Linked DNA regions of Schizosaccharomyces pombe. The protein of the gene in region 1 purifies or fractionates together with the protein of each later gene. This does not show direct contact. Each region holds a gene or a part of one and is shown on either strand. Other genes may lie near its edges.

Region 1 (4,949 bases):
TTTGTAGTTGAAGCATGCTTTAGGCTTGCATACCTCAGTCGATAATTCACAGGAATTTATTTTACAGTTTTTGCGAACGACACTTTTATCCGTACCAACGTCCTCAATTGTTTCTATCTCAGCGGACCCAACAAGCTGGAATAATCTCAACGTTTTAATGAAGTATAATTTTATGTTTCAAAAGTTTAAACCTCGAGATTTTCATGCTCAAACAATTCAATCAGAAACTATGTTTATACCTCCTTGTTGGGACACTATCTCTAAAATACAGAGTGTCAATCATGAATTTAATATCGCCCTTTTTAAACAAACCGCTAAAAATTTTTACGATACTCTTGACATAAGTTTATTACTTGGTTTATTTGATAAGAGTATATCGATGTTGAACTGTCATTCCTCAAAAATATCGGATGGAGATATACCCTACAAATCGCACCAAGTTTTTTTGCAAGAACTACAGAACAAGTATAGCGAGATTAAAACGTATTCTTCAAACAAATTAAATAAATCCTCCATAAAATCAAGTTTGTGGAAGGACTTAATTCAATAATTGTAATTGGCCTAAAGACATTCATTATTATTACAAAATCATATTATTTAATTAAAATGCATTAATGAGTTTCTGTCAAAATTTCAACCTCATAAATAATATTTTTTTTCTTTTAAATCATGACCATAAAGAACTATTAAAGTCCGGCTAATCCAAATCGCTCTGGAACCAAAGGAGCTGAGTCATCCAGTAATTTTTCCAATGCGAGCGTTCTGAATTCTGAAAGTTTATTTTCAAATAGAATTAAAACAGCTGCTGAGAGTGACTTAACTTTCTCACCTTGATCAGGGCTTTCAAAAAGAAACTTAGTATACGCCTCAAAGAAGAGCAAATGCTTCCCAAACTCATTAGCTAAAGTACGCCCAGAAGATATTTCTAAGATAGCCAAAAAACTAAACAAAAGCCCTTCATTAACTTCTGGAGTGTCTGATCGAAGTCGGCAGACCTCATTTAAAACGTCAACATATTCCCGGAGCATTCTGTTTGCCCCTTCTATCTTTGAGGTAAAAGTTTCAAAAAAGAGAATACCCAATGTCTTAAGATAGTAGACTAAAAACAAAGGCTCAATAAAAGCCGTTTTCCTAGATGCCAGCATATAACCACTGGTGAGGAGCAGGAACAATGATTTATCTACCTTAAGCGATAATCGATTGGCCTTTGGGAGTGGCTTTTTCGACTCGATTTCCGACTGCTTTGAAATATACCGTGTCTGTAAGAATTTCGGTCCCTCCGCATAATCCTTGCATTCACTCATTACCGGAAAAACTAATTTCCTTTCTAATTCATCACTAATCTTTTCAATAGTGGGTGAATAAAACTGATCGTGTAAATTTCCTGGAAGTAACTGGCTGGGAAAAAGACGTTCATTATCATCATCGTTGAATTTGCTAGCAGCTAAAGAAATACAAGATAAGATAAGTATTTTTTGGCGCATTGAATAGTCACTAACAAATAAATTTGTACAAATAACAGGACCACATATATCTAAACAGGTTAACAGAAGTTCCACTATAGCAGTCATTTGCATTTCATCAAAGTTCATTAAGTCAAATCGATTTTGTAAGGAAATTAACGTTTGTAACAATTCATCTGCATGATCTCGTAATTCGGTTCCAAAAGCAGACTTTCGTTTTATTAACTTAGAAGCGTTTTCCAGTGCAACACGTTGTTTCTCAAAACTTTCTGTGTCTTTTAACATTTTGCACAAATCTTGTACGTACACAGGAGAATGCGTCTTGGATCTAGAGACAGTTGGATCGTCGTCCGTGTCCTCACTGTCAATATCAGGAAAATCGTAAGGCTCCAAGTCATCTCCCCTTATTAAGTCATCGTTTTTAGAAATCACTGGCTTCTCCAAGTGAGTTACATTCGTCTCTTCCTTTTCTATCGAAGTCTCTGCGATAACACTTTCGTCATTCAAAATTTCAATAGGCAAAAATTCATCCTTGAGTGAGCTCAACGATTTGAGAACTTTTGCTTTCGTAGTCTTCATTATTGGAACGTCAAAGGCTAACGGGTTACTTAAGCTGACACCCGAATATGTAGAGATTACTTCGGCCATTATCATTCCATGCATTCGAATATCATCATCTAGACTATCTAAACGGCAAGATATTGCATTGGAGAACATTAGGGATTTGGAAAGATTATTCAAATATTTTGCTTCAAGTTTCGGAATAAATAGTAATAAATATATTGTTAAGCTCTCTTGAGCTAGCAGCGTATAGCTCCTCAAAAATTGCGCATTTGACCATATATTAAACAGAGAGTCCACTGTTTTTTCTAGCTCCTTTTTATCAGATTCCTTATAAGATATACTCGAACAAACTACTTCTACCCTTTTAATTATTAAATTTGTAGGGACGCCCCAATAAAATTCAATTAATCGAAGGAAGTGAGTGGATGAAAAGTTCAGCCTTAATAATGTAGCCAATGAACCTGTTATACGATCATCTCTTGCGGTGGAATATGAAAAATTGGTGGGATATTTGGTATTATGTTCAAGAAGAAGTTGATTGAGAAACAACATTTGATCAGAGACCGTCAAATCTGCAAATAATTTTTGTAGCTGAACACAAAATTTTTGTGTTAATGGAATCAATGGGTTAATGAATGCCTTTAAATTGGATGAGTGTAATAAATAATGGAATAGCTTTGAATATATTTCTGGGGTTTTAACAGCAGGTTTAGATATAATGCAAGCCAATTTTGAAGATAAAACGCCAATGTAGTCGGCCATTGATGAAGCCTTCAAACGTTTTGAATCATCGTAAACCTTGAAGGTAAGCATTGCAGCAGACATTGAATTAGTAATTTTAAAGTTTCCCAAGAAAAAAATAAATTCAGTCCACAAAGATTGCTTTTGATGATCAGATAATACAGTAGATTCCCATATCAATTTACAGTTATCGTCAAGGTCTATACATTCAAATGCTTTTTCCAGTAGCTCAAGATAAACTGTAACAAGATGAATGTTTTGCAAATTAGCCTCTTGAACAAAATTATCTAGTCGAACACATAGCAGTTTTAAGCCCAAAAGAGTAGAAAAACATTTTGCAAGGAGAAAATCTATTTCTGAATTAATTTTCCCATTCCAGAATGTGGGCACTATCACACTAATTAACTCATGATATAATCTTAGATTGCAAGGAGAAGGAACACCTATATGCTGCAGTTCTTTAAGGATTTCTTTTAAACGCGGCTTTTGAATAGGTTTGGATAGTTCGCTAGCAAAGGATTTCATATCCTTGGAGTTGAAAAATAACCGAATTATTTTGGGGTGTTGAGAAGACAGTAACCTTCGGTGGATTAATTCACCGGTCAGCAATCAGCAATATGCAGGATTATAGGCTGCTTGGCTAAAACAACACCAAAACTCTTTACAAAGTATATAGTTATTTTTAATTTGTTGTCCATGTAAATTACTTTAAATTCTATTAATTGTTTTTCATTCTATAAAGGTAATTTGAACTCAATTCATATAGTTTTTTAAATTGTGCTCTTAAACTTCCTGAGAATGGTGTATGCAACAATTACATGGGTAGCATCGGGATATTCTGTGAAACCTGTAAAGCTCTTCGATGTATTATTTTCACGGACTTTTCACAGCCTGAAATTGAATAGGAACTTACAATTTACGTGACAGAAAAAGGATATTATGTATAATTTAACTTAAAGACATTTTGTGCTTATATGCAATAGTTGTAACAAAAGAATGGATAGTTATGCTTTCAAATTCGCTTTCTATAAGTGAAGTATCCTGTTGCTTTATAAGACTAGTTGCAATATTTCTATTTGCTTTTAAAAAGCAAGTAACTTTTAGTTTAAAACTGTTTTTGTGTACCTCCCAAATTAAATGTTAATGCTCCGCTAATCGGTAAGCTAATCCGTGAGAAAAAATGCATTAATTTTTCTTGTTTCGTTCAAGTCAACACATTGCAAATAAAGGTCACTAAATTTACAATTCAGGATTTTTAAATTGAAATATTAAACATAATACGTGGACGAGTGCAAAAAACTACCAGTTTATTTAAATAAATAAAAAAAAAATATCATAACATGTATTATCGTAATCTTTTCCTTAGACTGCTCTTCACACGATGTCTGAATAACCGTCAACAAAAAGCTATTTATAAAAATTTCAGAAACAGGTAGTCTCCTTCACAGCACTGCGAACGAAAACTCTAGGGAAGCAAAACAAACGGAGTTTATCTGCCTTGTTATATACTCGTTAAACGACAACTCAACACACACCACTATCCACCACCAACAACAAAATCCTTAATAAAAATGTCATCTCATAAACCCGTTCGTCCTAATGAAGCTCTTCACAAGGAGGCTTTGGAGGAGCTTGATGCTAAGATCAACGAGGCGAAAAAGCGTTTCGTAAGTAGTTTTAAATTCTTGAATATTGAAGGCTAAGCTTTTTTTTTTTTTCATAACTATGAAAGCTTCAAAAAATCACTTGTTTCTTATATAGTTTTCGCATCTTAACTAATCAACTAGAATGAGCATAAGGAGAAGCTTGGTGCCATTCGCGGTGGTGGTTCATTGCAGGAGAAGAATGCAGAACTTCGCGCTGAATTAGACAATATTCGCAATGCTCAAGCAGCTATCCGTTCTTCTAAGCAAACTCTCATCAACAAAGTCAAGGCTCAAGATGAACTTTTGAAAAAGAAGGTATGTTTTGCATTAATATATGTAAGCACTAAAGTTTTGTGTTGGAAAACTTTATGAGCTTGGTAAAGAAACAAAATGTTTACTGACATACTTTTAGGTTAAGGAGTTGACTGCCATGAAAAAAACTGTTCCTTTCAAGTCAGAAGTGGAGCTTGATAAACATGTTAAACAACTTCAAGCCGCCGTTGACTCAGGAACTTTAAAGATTGTTGATGAGAAG
Region 2 (4,901 bases), on another chromosome or scaffold:
CTAAAGATTTAAAAATGTTTGAGACAATAGATCTTTGCAGATAATAAGATTCATCTTTGTCAGGGCACAACCTACCATTAGAGACTTGCTGTAAGTTTTTATCCATGCGATCTACAACTGCTCGGCACATTGTATCAATAGATTCCCAAAAGTCTTCATCGGGCTTCGCAGACGCAAAGAGTAATAAATACGAATTCTTGACCATTTGAAATGCTTGCTTCTTTTCTTCTAAATCGGAATTTTGATTGTTTAAAACAGCACATGAAGACATTAAAAATTTGGAGTGCTCTAAGCTAAAATTCTGAGAGGAGCCTTGGAAAGAAAACTGGATTGAAGGAAAAATATTTTCATCTTGCAAAAAATCAAAGCCAAAGGTACCAAGATATATTTGTCTATTTCGACCACCCATTTTTCCTAATATTCTCACAGCACTTTGATGCAATTGATTATTGGATTGATTAAGGCGTGAATGATTCCACAGGCATATCAGCAAATCCGGCATAATTGAGTCCAATAAAGGATCCAAAAATTCTTGAGTAAGATTATCCAAGCAAAGTTCAAATATTCGAAGCCCTTGACTAGCTATTTCAGGGGGGCCTTTTAATGCAACAATCAATGGCTTCATTAAAAAATTCATATGAGGCAACAACACACTGAGTCTAATGGGTAAAGTCAAACAAAGTTCCGCATACAGCTCTTTTTGGGATGTAGACGTAACAGTAAAAATCAATCTGTTGAAACATTCTAGCATTACTTGGAGAAGTGGTAGTATTTCCTTGTAAAGAGAATCAAATTTTCCTCCACTGATATTTCTAAACAAAGCTTTCATTAAATAAACGTAATTTAAAGGTTCAACAGCATCAGTAGTCAATTCGAGGCTAGTTGAAATGATATAGGATATATGGGGACGCAGGACTTCTGCATTTTTTTCGGGAAAAACATTCACAGTCATAAAGGCCAACTTGAATAATCGCAATAAAACAGAAACCCGAGTGGATTGGCCAGACCCTATTTTAGCTAGATTGTCACAGCAAAAAGACAGCACGATGCCCGTGCAGTTGACAGAAGTAACTTCATTAGACATCCAAAATTGGAAAATATGCAATAAAGCAAGATTATCTACTAGACACTCAAATATATTCGGAAACTCGGATTCCAAAATTTCGACGAAAACAGATGGGTCCAAGTGTAAAAATAAAGTTGCTAACATTTCTAAGAGCTCCTTCTCTTCTAAGAGTTTAGAAGGGTTTGTGGTCAACGAAGAATCAAGTTGAGAGTATGCAAGATTTTTCGAGGACTTGAATACACCGGTTTTTTCATCTGTCTGGTAATAACTGAATCCCTTTAAACTTTCCACAAGTAATCTTCGAAACAGTAAAACTTCATTAGTTGAACTAAGATGTAACTTTTCAGACCATTCCTGAGCTGTAAAAATGGAACCGTTGGCAAGAGGAATATTTCGTTGCTTTAGTCCAAACAAAACAGGCTTAATACCTAATAAGGTGTTTTTAAAAAGAAATATGCAATCTTTTAGCTTATCCAAACCTGAAGGTTGGGCAGCTCCAGTAGGGTTCTCAAACATAGGAAGATCATGTTTATTTTCTTCTATTTTAATTTGCTTTAAGTCAGCATTTTCCTGTAAAGAATCTCTCAGCTTCATAAACTCGAAATTCAGAGAAGTCAATTTTCTTAAGAGACATAAAAGTATAGCAAATAGAAGTGATCGGCTAGTGGAAAAATCTTCTAGTGCAACAATTCTTTCAACCAAGTTTAAAATAAGCTTTGTAGCCATTGCCTGAATAGCTGAAGTATAAAAGTCGTCCATCAAAATACTGAAATAAAGAAGTATGACTTTGTAAATTTGTTGTGGACTTAATTCCATACGCACATAATGAAGCATATCTGCCAGCATGCTAAAAGCCATGGGTCGTAATGAATGCTGAGAAGTGATTCCAGAACCAACTAGAATTTTGGTATCAAGTAGTTGATCTACATACGGTAGAAACCCTCTCAAATAATCCGTCGATAAGACGTGCCTTGTAGCTACCAAAAGTTCTCTTCGAGTCTGATATAATTCGGAAGGACAGTCCATGAACAATTGCAAGGTACATATTGGGATCGAGCTTTCAAACTGTTTAAGAGCAGCACCAAAACTTCTCAATAAATAGGCGAGAAAAGAGAATGATTTAATTTGCGCAGAAATAAGGTCATTGTAAAGATGATTTCGACGCAAAGAAGGGACTACACCAATAAAAACCTCTTTTTGAGATTCTGCAAGTCGACGAGCTTCGGCTTGAGGTGGAGGACGAAGTGAGATAAATTGAAGTACAAGCGGAGCAAGTAAAGGAAGCATTTTCGGAATAAGATCTTTGTATGTTTGAAATAGGAGAAAGACGATAATGGGAAATTCAGCAGTGACCTTGAAACTCGAAGAAGCTTTTGGGATCATTTTTGGACCTGCATGTTCCATTCCAATTTCAGCAGGAGATGCAGAAGATGCAGCAGACATGGGATGAGAGGATGGAGTATTCGGAGCTGATCTAGGTGGGAAAGCTTCTGAAACAACTGTGGTCATGGATTTGTAGTTTTCAACGACAATGGATAAAAATTCCTGAACATGTCCCTTAGCAAGGCTACTGTGGTCCTTAAAAAGAAGGACAACAAGCTTCAATGCCAACACTGCCATCTCTTCATTATCATTAACGACTATACGAAGAAGCACGGCAAAAGTCCGATTAACGAATGCTTCAAAACCTTTATAGGATCCAGATTTCTTGAGCAATTCAAGCAATGCAATGCGTAAACGATGTGTAGCTGCTAACGATGAAAATACAGGACGTTCCTTTTCAAGCAAAGACAACGTGTCCTCCAAAAGAGGAATGAAAGTTTCAAAATTCGTCTTTTCAGTTACCAACACATCATCCAGTGCATCTCGAATTTCAATTGCTGTGTTTGCCTTTTGCTTCGAGTCTAATCCAACATCACAAAGCCGATTATGCCAATGTTCGCATTGTGATACATCCATCAGATGCTTGGATCTCTGCGCAAGCTCTTTTTTAAATTCCAATTGCACTCGGATACGTTTTCCTAAGTATTTAACAATTACTATTGGAATGTTGTGGGATAGAGCAAGCTGCATTTCTTTCCTCTAAATCACTTTATGAATTTTACATGTTTTCGCTATTTTAATTAACGGCCTTATTATTTTGTGCGGTAGAAGTTGCTAAAATGATGAACGAGATAAAAATAGCGAGTGATACCACAAAAGTTCGTTTAGCCTCAGCTGCATAATTTGTCGTAAACAAACCATTCATTCATTAATCTGTTCATTACCATTTTTAGGCTACCTTTTAGTCAGTGATCTTTAATATATCTTACCGATTAGTAAGTTAATTGATTTCCAAAATGAGTAAAGCTATGGCGTTGCGACGGTTAATGAAGGAGTATAAGGAGTTAACGGAGAATGGGCCTGATGGTATTACTGCAGGTCCATCGAATGAGGATGATTTCTTTACTTGGGATTGCCTAATTCAAGGCCCTGATGGAACTCCATTTGAAGGTGGGTTATACCCTGCTACCTTGAAATTTCCTTCCGTAAGTCCTTTACTATAAACCTGATGGAGACTGAACATGTGATTTAAGTTGTGGATAAGTATGATGTTTCGCATGTTTTATGTATCAACTACTTATTAAAAAATACGCGCTCTTTTTCATAAATTAACATTTGTTCAGCGTAAATAAAGAAAGTAACTCAATAATCCATTCGTTTAGAATGATCATTTAAGAGAAGTGCTTTTATTCATTAGTAATTGATGAATCCTTCGATTTATTGATGAGTAGGAAGAAATTTTATTTAAAAGATCTATCTAAGTTTTTTTTTGGGGGTTTGGTTTCTTTCTTTGAATCGCATGGCAGTACATCCGGGGTGTTCAAGCGCACGTTGATACGTGCTTAGTTTTATTTTTATTGGATTCTAACTTTTTTATGTAGGATTATCCTCTTGGCCCCCCTACTTTAAAGTTTGAGTGTGAATTTTTCCATCCAAATGGTATGCCAGATACTATTAATCCAAATTTCGAGACTAACCTTCATTTCAGTTTACAAAGATGGGACGGTTTGCATTTCCATCCTACATGCACCTGGTGACGATCCAAATATGTATGAGTCGTCTTCAGAACGTTGGTCTCCTGTTCAATCTGTTGAAAAAATACTGTTATCGGTAATGTCGATGTTGGCGGAACCAAACGATGAAAGTGGTGCTAACATCGATGCGTGCAAGATGTGGAGAGAAGATCGAGAAGAATATTGTCGTGTAGTTCGACGATTGGCTCGTAAAACCTTGGGATTATAACCATGAATTGTATATTTGATTAGATTGCCATGAATAACGAACCTGATAAAATCTAGAAATAAAGTTTTGTTCCATTTTTGAACGCAACCGGTAGGCTTTTCTCTTTCTATTCCAACGTATAACGCTACATAGGTTTAATTACAAGGTTTAAACAAAAATGAAAGCACTTTTCCAATTCAATTTCTATCTGTAAATGATGGAAGATAAACATTTTGTCTATTGAGATAATCCATCTTTTAATAAACATCACTTGAACTTTCTACACAGATACATGGCAACGTACATCGCTGAAAACGAATTATATTGAGAAAACATCTAGAAATTACACAGTAAAAAACTTAACAAAATATAAGAATAACCCCAAATTATGCTCCAAAAGAAAAAAAAAATGCATCAGGTGCATAAAAATATTAGCTTCCCACAACCTACAAAAGAAAGAGGTAAATTTTTTTACAAAATAAAAATCAGAAATTATCAAATAAAACGATCATATTCCATCTTCCAATTTTTCTTCATCACCAGTGTTTTCTTCACTACCTTTAGCAATCTC
Region 3 (4,709 bases), 4.5 Mb from region 1:
GCTGTTAGTAGCGTCACTCTTATAAACATAGAGCTTTGAAATATTGCAAACATAAGTGAACGCTTGTTGCTTAACCTCCAGATCACTAGAAGGGCTAGAAAGCAAATTCACAGCCTCATCAACATATTGGGTGTAATGTAAAAGTTGTGGTTGTTTAACCCCTTTTATCGAAAGAAGTAAAGTAAAATCGTTATTCGGTTCCGGCGAATTCTTTAAACTCTGGACTCTATCAAGAAGCTTCCTATTTCTTCCACCAAGTTTACCAAGTATTTTCAAGGCAGTATGGCTGTGATTATAATTATAAGGAAGAGGTTGTAGATGACTCCATAAAGCATTCATTAGATCTTCTATGTAAGGAGCCATTATCGGATCCAAAAAATCAGGAGTGAGATTATCCAAGCATAATTCAAAGGTTCGTAATCCCTGACTAACTAATTCTTGACTGCTTTTTAAAGACATGACGAGAGGTCTCATTAGATAACTCATGTATGGTAATAAAAGACTAAGCCTTACAGGAATAGTAAGACAAAGTTCGGTAAAAAGGTCTTTCTCCTTCGGAGTACGGGCAGATATAAGCAATGAATTAAATGCCTCTAATAGAGCGTGCAACAAAGGCATTACTTCTTTATAAAGGCTTTCAAATCTTCCCCCACCAATTCCTCGGAACAACGCTCTTAATAGATAATAGTAGTTCAATGAATTAGCAGAATTGGGAGCCAACTTCATACATTTCACAATAATTTCAGATACATAAGGCCGAAGAACTGGCTCATTCTCTGTTGCAAACATTGAGACTGTAACGAAAGAAAGACGAAACAAACGCAACAAGACAGAACCATGCCTGATGTCAGAAGATCCGAGTTCCTCAATTCTGGAAAGCAGAAATCGAAGTAAAATATTTAAAAATTTTGATGATGTGCTCTCATTTGAAAGCAAAAACTGTGGAATGTGAAATAATGTGAGATTTTTTTTAAGTTGATCAAAAAAAGTAGGAAGGTTTGTTTCAAAAACTTTAAGAAATATAGATGGCTCGAGATGTATAAAAATGGTAGCAAATACTTCAAGACAATCTTTCTCGTCTTTGTTACGAGGAAGCGTAGATATAGCAGGGCGATCTAAACTTTCTTCTTCGCAGCAGAAAAAAGTTTCTAAATAGACTTGCTCAGGTCGAAAATATGAGAATCCTTTGCCAACCTCAAAAAAAAGCTTCTGAAACGTAACAGCTTCGAAAGGCTTGATATTCGTAAGGAATCCCGAAAATTGTTCACCTCCAATTTCTATGCATCGAGACTTGCATGTACGAAGCCCATACATAAGAGCCCGTAAGCCAAACATCAAGTTTTTAAAAAGAAATGATCCATCATTGACGGAAGTGCTAAATGAAGATAAATCCCTAGGAGAAGAACGCGTCGGTGACTTTGTCTCTTTAATTTCTTCTTCATACTTTTTCTTAAAAAACTGATCCAAACTATCATTAAGTTCCGAAAACTTATTTACAAAGCTATCAAAAATAGATAAAAGAAGAAATATAGCATCGGGGATGCTAGGAAGACTAATCATTCTGTCAACCATGTTTAAAATGAGCCGGGCACCCATAGTCTGTAACCCAATGCTAAGAGTCAAATCATGCATATTGGTCGAATAAATCATTATAGATTTTCTTATTTGCGTTTCGTTAAGTTCGTCACGTACATGATGAAGTAAGTCAGCTAATGTACTAAATGCCAAGGGACGTAACAGCTTTTGAGTACCAACTCCATTTCCTAATAATATATTTAAATCTAACAAAAAATCCAGCTTTTTGACAAAAAGAGATTTTAAGTTTGTTGACAGAATATGTCTCGTAGCAACCAGCAGTTCTTTACGGGCAAAACACATATCAAAAGGGCATCGCCTCAAAAGCTTTATTACAATGTCCGGTATTATATCCTTCTCAGAAAGTGTATTGGGATGAGTTCGTAAAATATAAGCCAAGAAAGATAAAGTCTTTACTTGAGCCATAAAAAAATTACGGTACTGATATTTATTCCTTATAAACTCAATAAAGTCAATGCTTGAATCTTTTTCAATCATTGCATATGAAGCGATGTCTATTGGAACATCAATTTGTACCATCTTAAGAAAACAGGGAATTATGGCTTGAACACCAGGGAAAGCAGCTTGACGATATGCTTGAAGAATCAAAACTATAATGACCGGACACTCTACATACACGCGGAAACTTTGAGAAGCCAGTTCCAAAGGTTGAGTAGAAATAGCTAAAGAATTGACACGCTGTTGGATGATTGAAGTTTCCGTAGACAGATAACTACCAAAAGCCAGGGTTGTATTTTCCTCTTCATTTGATTTTGGATTCTCGACAAATATTGAGGGAATTAAATAAGGAAGGTTTGTAGAAAGCTCAAGTACCAAGTCAAAAAAGGGTTGTGCAGTGCTTTCTATACAAAACTTAAAAGTTTTGAATATATCCATAATAACTTTTAAGCAAAAAACAGCGACTTCTTCATTATCTGCTTTAATCAAGCTAATGAACGAAAGCACACAAGACTGCGCATATTGTTTAAATTCATCACGGTGAGCGCAACTTTGTATTAAAGTCAATGCTTCGATCTTGAGTTCATTGACAGAAGAATTTCTATAAAGATTCACCTCTGTATTTCGTAAAAAATCCAAGAGTAGTGGAATTAATTCTGCATACAGCTGCGAGGCGTCTGAAGATATGCTAGAAACCTTAGTAATTAAAATTTTAGTTAGTTTGATTTTTTCTTCTATTTCTTAAAAAAAGTTAGTATAAAATAAAAAAATGAATCAAAATATCTACAAAAATTTATATACCTGTACTTTCAGCTTTCAGTAGCTCTATAGAGCTGCTGAGCGACTTTTCAAAACCGTCTTCCATAACAAAGTTCGGTCCATGCAGATACTTTTTAATAAATCTTTGAAACCAAACTTGATACACTACGAGATTTTGGACACAGCTGTAAAAAAGCACAGAACGATTACTGTCAGATGTTGTTTAGTTGTTGCTATGTTCAAGGTGAATCGTATAGTGAGGACGCAAAACTGCACTATTCAAGAAGCCACTGAAGCTATTTGAAATCGACGTGAGTGTAATTTTTATCAAATACAATATAATACTGCTTTATAAACTATGACATGTTTGTACGATATAGAAGGTTTTTAAGAAGGAAAATATTATACAGATTTTATCATGCAGTTATCGGGTTTTTCTACAAACGGTTCCGGTTCCTTGAATACCATTGTATGTGAAAAACTTCTTTTCAAGCCTAACTTTGTTCAAGATTCTTTTATAATAGGAATGACTATTTTATGTTCAGTAATATTGTATGGGTCGGGAAATTTGCGCTACATAGATGCTTTGTTGTTGGCTTCTGGTTCTTGTACTCAGACTGGCTTGCAGCCTGTGGACCTCACGCAGATATCCATTTACCAACAGGTATGCATATTTTTAAATAAATTTTTTAACTATTTTTTAGTTAACTATTCTCCTTTTTGGAGTTTTGAGTACACCAATTACTGTGAACCTGGGCTTGACTTTGTTTAAGCTGTACTTCTATAACAAGCGATATGACATGGTCATAACAAATAATAAACTTAGGATGACATATACTTATCACACTGTAAGAAGAAGGGATACTCCAGAGCCTTCCAAAGTTGGCAATCGAAAAATTCGGGTTTTGTTAGACCAGGGTAATCAAATGCACCGGCCAGTTGCCCCAGAGACTAAGGCTGAGGAAGCTGAACACCAAGAGAATGAAAAACATCACAGGCACCATTTTCGTCTAAGGAAATTTGCTAATGCAATCGATCGCCCAAGCTTCTTTCGCGGGAATACCATGCCCGCTCTCCCTAGTTATGCAGGTGTTAGAAATTCTCAAGAAAATGAAGACAGAACTGAAGCATTAAGTCCAGCTCTTGGGAAACGAAGAATGGCATCAATCGACAATGGATCTTTATCCGTTGTACAAAACAATGCTAGAAATAATCCTGTCGACTTTTACATTCCTAGTTCGTTTGAAGAATCATCTTTTCAAACAATTCCTGAGGATTTTGAGCCTCAAGTACATGACCACGAGAATCAAACACAACTGAACCATCATCTGGATAACAACAGTTCTATCTCTTCGCACAATCCTTCCCTAGAAACTGCAAATGATGGTAATCAGGAAACTGTTTCATCCTCAAACTCAAACTACAGCACAACAAGAGTTGACAATGATCCACATGTAGCATCTTATTCACCTCAAAATTCGAATTTTGATCATCAGGCTGCTGCAACTACTAACGATGCACATCAAAATGTAGTACGCGGCTCTGCAATTACCATTGCACCAACCCCTGTTCCCAGGCATAATCGCAGGCCTATATATTTTGCTGGTAAGTCATTCCGTGATTTTAATATTGACCTTTAGATGACACGAATGGAGCTGAGCAGGAAAAAGGTGCTCATCGACTTGATGGACGAGGTAGAAAACGTGGTAAATCATTTGCTGTTACACCTACACTTCACAGGAATGAGCGCTCAATGTCTGTCCTACCATTTCAATTAGCCAAATCATTTACATCTGCTCTTCCTCGAAGACTCACATTCAACCGTACTCACACGAAAGCTAGCACAATGAGTTTACCTTATTTATCGTACAATGCAACAGTGGGCAGAAATTCTGCATTTTATGCCTTAACTCCAG
Region 4 (3,707 bases), on another chromosome or scaffold:
CATTTTTTACACGAAATGCTCTAACCGGGGCACGACGACCCTGATTTTCCAAACCCAATCCAGCAGTATCTCCTTGGGGAGACCAACCATACTGAGAAAGAACTCGATAACCAAGGCTTTTTGGTTTTAATAAATGGGGTTGAAATTTGTTTGAAATATGTTGTGAAGAAAGAAGGTGAGTCATTGATTTAAAATGATTAATTTTTTTGCTATTTGGAATGTATATTTGACACACTTCACAAGCAAAACCAGCTTCGTCCCTCTTGCTGTTCATAGTATGCGAATTATCCCTATCATTTTCAAATAACGAATGATAAAATGCTTGTGCCGATCCTTTTTCAATAAAAGTGGCTTCGTCCAACGATTGTTCACTAGTGGCTTTTACGAATGAAACCCTACGACCATTTTTATAAAAACCATAAGAATTTGACAGCTCCATATTTCCTTTATTCTCCATTTTCCATCGTTTTTCGAATAACCATTGTTACCAATTTATCTAGGTTGAAGGTTGGTTAGTAATGAGGAGAGTCTTTCCTTATATGTACCTCAAAGTGGGATTTGCAGGGGTTCAAGCAGTGGCAATATTACATTGTAATCACCGAGTTGCTCAACAGTTATGTTCAATTTTATCAAAGTGAAGAGGTTTTGAAGCGCTTGTACAATTGCATTGTGATGCTCTTGTAAGTTACATCGCATATAATTTCTACTGCAAACCACTAGTGCCATTAATAACTCAACATGGTGTGCAGATATTCGATAACTGTAAATTTCCAATAGTTTTGTTAATATTTCTAAAAAAAAGGAGAGTGTCGATGGTATCTGTATGATTTGTGGGTTTTGTATTATACGACACAGTTCATCCAGAGTCAACTAAGTGCGATTAGTAAACTTTCAAATGTAACGAATTTAAATTATTACCGTTAGGTATGGTAAATAACTAACATTCATTTTGTCAGTTAAAACCATAATTTGAGAAAATGCGGCTTGAAGAATCAGGGGATAATCGAATGCAAACTGAAACACAGAATTAATACCGTTCAGCATAATAGAATTTAAATTTTCATTTTCTTCAGGATAAAGAGAAACTAGGGTTGCGAAGGAGGCATTTATAAGGGTAACACTCGTTTGAATTGTAAATCTTGGCGGTATGAAAGTATAGAATACGAGCAAATCGTCCTTCAAAATTTTTAGAATTCCAGTATATAAAAGAAATTCTCTTTCCGTAATTTTTAACAATCTGTTGACTAGCTCAATTCCTTGTAGTTTAATGTTTGGAGATAAATCATTCAATATTCGGAGTACAGATGGAATGATTCTGTGCCAACATACTTCAATGCTAGAAGAACTTTGCTGATCAATTATCCAAAAAATAAGGTGAGAAATGAGATAATTTTTTGTTTTCCACTTTGGCTCAAGAAGTGCTTTACTTTGATCACTGTGAAATTTGTCTGGTGGTAATTCAAATGCAACCGGTCTACCTTGATCTGTCAACCGTTCTTCTCTATGAAAAAGATTTATTTGATACTTTTCTAGAAGATATAATAAGAATTTTTGTCTAGGAACAGCGCTGAGGATTGAAGTTGAGAGGAATTCTGACAAATTGCGTACAAGTCCATTCTCGATTCCACTTAATGATATTAAAATAGCTAGGATTTCCCAATTGATCTCTTTAACAACATTTTCTATAAACTGTTCTTGAAAAATGCTTAATATCCGGTGAGCGCGCACAACATACGCTTCTTTAATCACTACATCAATCGATTCAGGGTCTGGATGAGTTAATAATTTAATATAAAAAATTGTCGCCGTACCCAGTAAAAACCAACTTTCAGTAGGGCTAATGAACTCTAATAATGGCCTCAAATCTTGTTCATGAACCAACGAGTCCACCTCTACCACCAATTTGTCCAAAAAGTCTATTTGCTATATTTGGTTAAAATTTGAAAATAGTGAATTAAAAACGGTACTTTTTCAAGAGCTTCTTTTTCATTTTTTGATTGTAGAGTATGCAATCGCCTAGCTAGCTCTTTGTAATATTGCATAGATATTGCCAATTTAAACTTCTATTAGATAATTATTAAGTCTAATGTTTTATTATTTGTTTGATTTGTAAACAAAGAATATTAACAGAATTGTAATGTCACTTAGTTATTAGAGAACTTAAATTCTATGAAAAAAGTATTTCATGTTAAGCTATGGTCATACACTAATAATATAAACTTATAGAGTATGTGATATACTGTAAGTTTCTAAGTCGTTGCCAAGAAATCAATTTAATAAATTAACAATTTACTAGTTTTTAAAGGTATAAAAAGCAAAATTTTTAGTAACTAACATCAATTCATTACACAGGTACTTTACCTTATCGCTTTAGCTATATAAGTTCTATTGAGTATATAAGCATTATTGTTTTTTATAGTTATTACCAAGAAAAATGTTTTTATAGTATTCATTTATTCTTTAGTATGTGCATAAATTATTAGTAAACCAAACCATTTCCCGTGAATTTAAGTGATCGTTAAAAAAGGACGTATATAAATTATTGCTCAACCAGCTCAGCTTGAATCTTCTCCGGTTTCGAAGTCTTTTTATCCGAGTCAGTATTAGTAAGGGTAAAAGTATCAGATGGTGTTTTTAGAGAAACATTGCCTAATGTAGACACGATATCTTCAACCTTCTGTTCTTCAGCTACCAAATCCTGCCATTCTTTTTCAACGGCTTCATCCTCTAAATCAATGTTTTGAGGATTGTAAGTTTGAATAGTTGCATCAATCTCTTCCGAACGAGCCAGTGTATCATTTACGTTTTCTAAGACATCTTCCACTTTTTCAGTTCCACCCATTTGAGCTAAAATTGCGTCTAGAGCTTCAGAGCCAGAAGACATTGCAATAAGCAAAATTTTGTTGTCAACCGCATTATCAATATTAGAAATTATAGTATCTAATTGCAGACGCGAAGAAACTTTCCTTTCCAAATCTTTAGACAAAATCTTTTTTCGACGTAAATAAGTTATTGCTATTGTTTTCTCTCCCTTTTTAACTGCTTGGTTTAGCACTTGTGAAAGTTGCTCCAATTCCTCGTTTAAAAATTCTGATCTTTGGGCGATGGATGCCCTAGCCTGTATCAGATCTGCAACAGACCCATCAATAGACTTATCAATTGAAGCTAATTGAGCATCAATTTGGCTGTTGGGTAAAAACTTGATTATCTATTCTCGTTAAAAAAACGGTATCGACAAATAGCTGAGAAAACATATAATCTGAACTTACCTTAGAATCAAATATTAAAACATGTTTTTGATAGCACATCCAATTAAGAAGGCATTCCATCTCATCCTTGTTTAATTTTCCTTCTTCCCAGTATAAGCTTCCAAAAGTATCTTGAAAAAAGTCCCAAGTATAAATTGCACTCGTATAGCTGCTGCACCGTCGCATTGCTTCATTGTGTACAAGGCAAGCAAGTTTCTCAATATTTTTTCGAATTACATACTGCCCACTCGGGGATCTATTTGACAATATGGATGAGGCTTGATTTTGAAACCCAAGTTTCTGAAAACTCCACCGTAGAATTGAAAAAATAGAAAAACCGTCTTCTCTTACTAAATTTCCTTTTTTACAATCGTTCAAAAAGTCTTGCTTACGAAGCCAAACCCCTTGCTGGATCCAGTAAGCCTATATGCTTATTAGCTTCAAAAAAAATGCTTAATT

The links.
Region 2: the proteins of tel2 (region 1) and tra1 purify together in Schizosaccharomyces pombe (affinity purification with mass spectrometry; 3 studies listed by BioGRID). This does not show direct contact.
Region 3: the proteins of tel2 (region 1) and tra2 purify together in Schizosaccharomyces pombe (affinity purification with mass spectrometry; 3 studies listed by BioGRID, with this or other methods). This does not show direct contact.
Region 4: the proteins of tel2 (region 1) and tti2 purify together in Schizosaccharomyces pombe (affinity purification with mass spectrometry; 5 studies listed by BioGRID, with this or other methods). This does not show direct contact.

What each region holds. Positions count from the first base shown.
Region 1 is NC_003424.3:4,733,206-4,738,154, reverse strand, and holds tel2 (TTT co-chaperone complex LRR repeat subunit Tel2), read right to left. Parts: upstream 3,335-4,949; 5' UTR 3,294-3,334; coding exon 687-3,293; 3' UTR 557-686; downstream 1-556. Other genes in the region: dli1 (meiotic dynein intermediate light chain Dli1/Dil1), read left to right, coding at 8-550; SPOM_SPAC458.02C (mRNP complex protein), read left to right, coding at 4,340-4,435, 4,556-4,729, 4,827-4,949. UniProt on the Schizosaccharomyces pombe protein: Component of the TORC1 and TORC2 complexes required for the regulation of the cellular respons to changes in available nutrients. Required for normal entry into S phase. Regulates activation of the DNA replication checkpoint.
Region 2 is NC_003423.3:1,902,394-1,907,294, forward strand, and holds the start of tra1 (SAGA complex, phosphatidylinositol pseudokinase subunit Tra1), read right to left. Parts: upstream 3,026-4,901; coding exon 1-3,025. Other genes in the region: ubiquitin-conjugating enzyme Ubc7, read left to right, coding at 3,406-3,594, 3,991-4,048, 4,098-4,351; ribosome biogenesis protein Yar1, read right to left, coding at 4,839-4,901. UniProt on the Schizosaccharomyces pombe protein: Essential scaffold subunit of the transcription coactivator SAGA complex. SAGA acts as a general cofactor required for essentially all RNA polymerase II transcription.
Region 3 is NC_003424.3:257,909-262,617, reverse strand, and holds the start of tra2 (phosphatidylinositol kinase-like protein Tra2), read right to left. Parts: upstream 3,008-4,709; 5' UTR 2,900-3,007; coding exon 2,836-2,899; intron 2,775-2,835; coding exon 1-2,774. Other genes in the region: plasma membrane potassium ion transmembrane transporter Trk2, read left to right, coding at 3,157-3,262, 3,303-3,457, 3,498-4,398, 4,434-4,709.
Region 4 is NC_003423.3:3,898,382-3,902,088, reverse strand, and holds tti2 (protein Tti2), read right to left. Parts: upstream 2,154-3,707; 5' UTR 2,043-2,153; coding exon 1,968-2,042; exon of another isoform or gene 1,924-1,967; coding exon 919-1,923; exon of another isoform or gene 871-918; coding exon 547-870; downstream 1-546. Other genes in the region: SPOM_SPBC1604.16C (G-patch type RNA-binding protein), read right to left, coding at 1-457; cmp7 (ESCRT III complex subunit), read right to left, coding at 2,540-3,208, 3,270-3,671. UniProt on the Schizosaccharomyces pombe protein: Component of the tel2-tti1-tti2 (TTT) complex that stabilizes protein levels of the phosphatidylinositol 3-kinase-related protein kinase (PIKK) family proteins.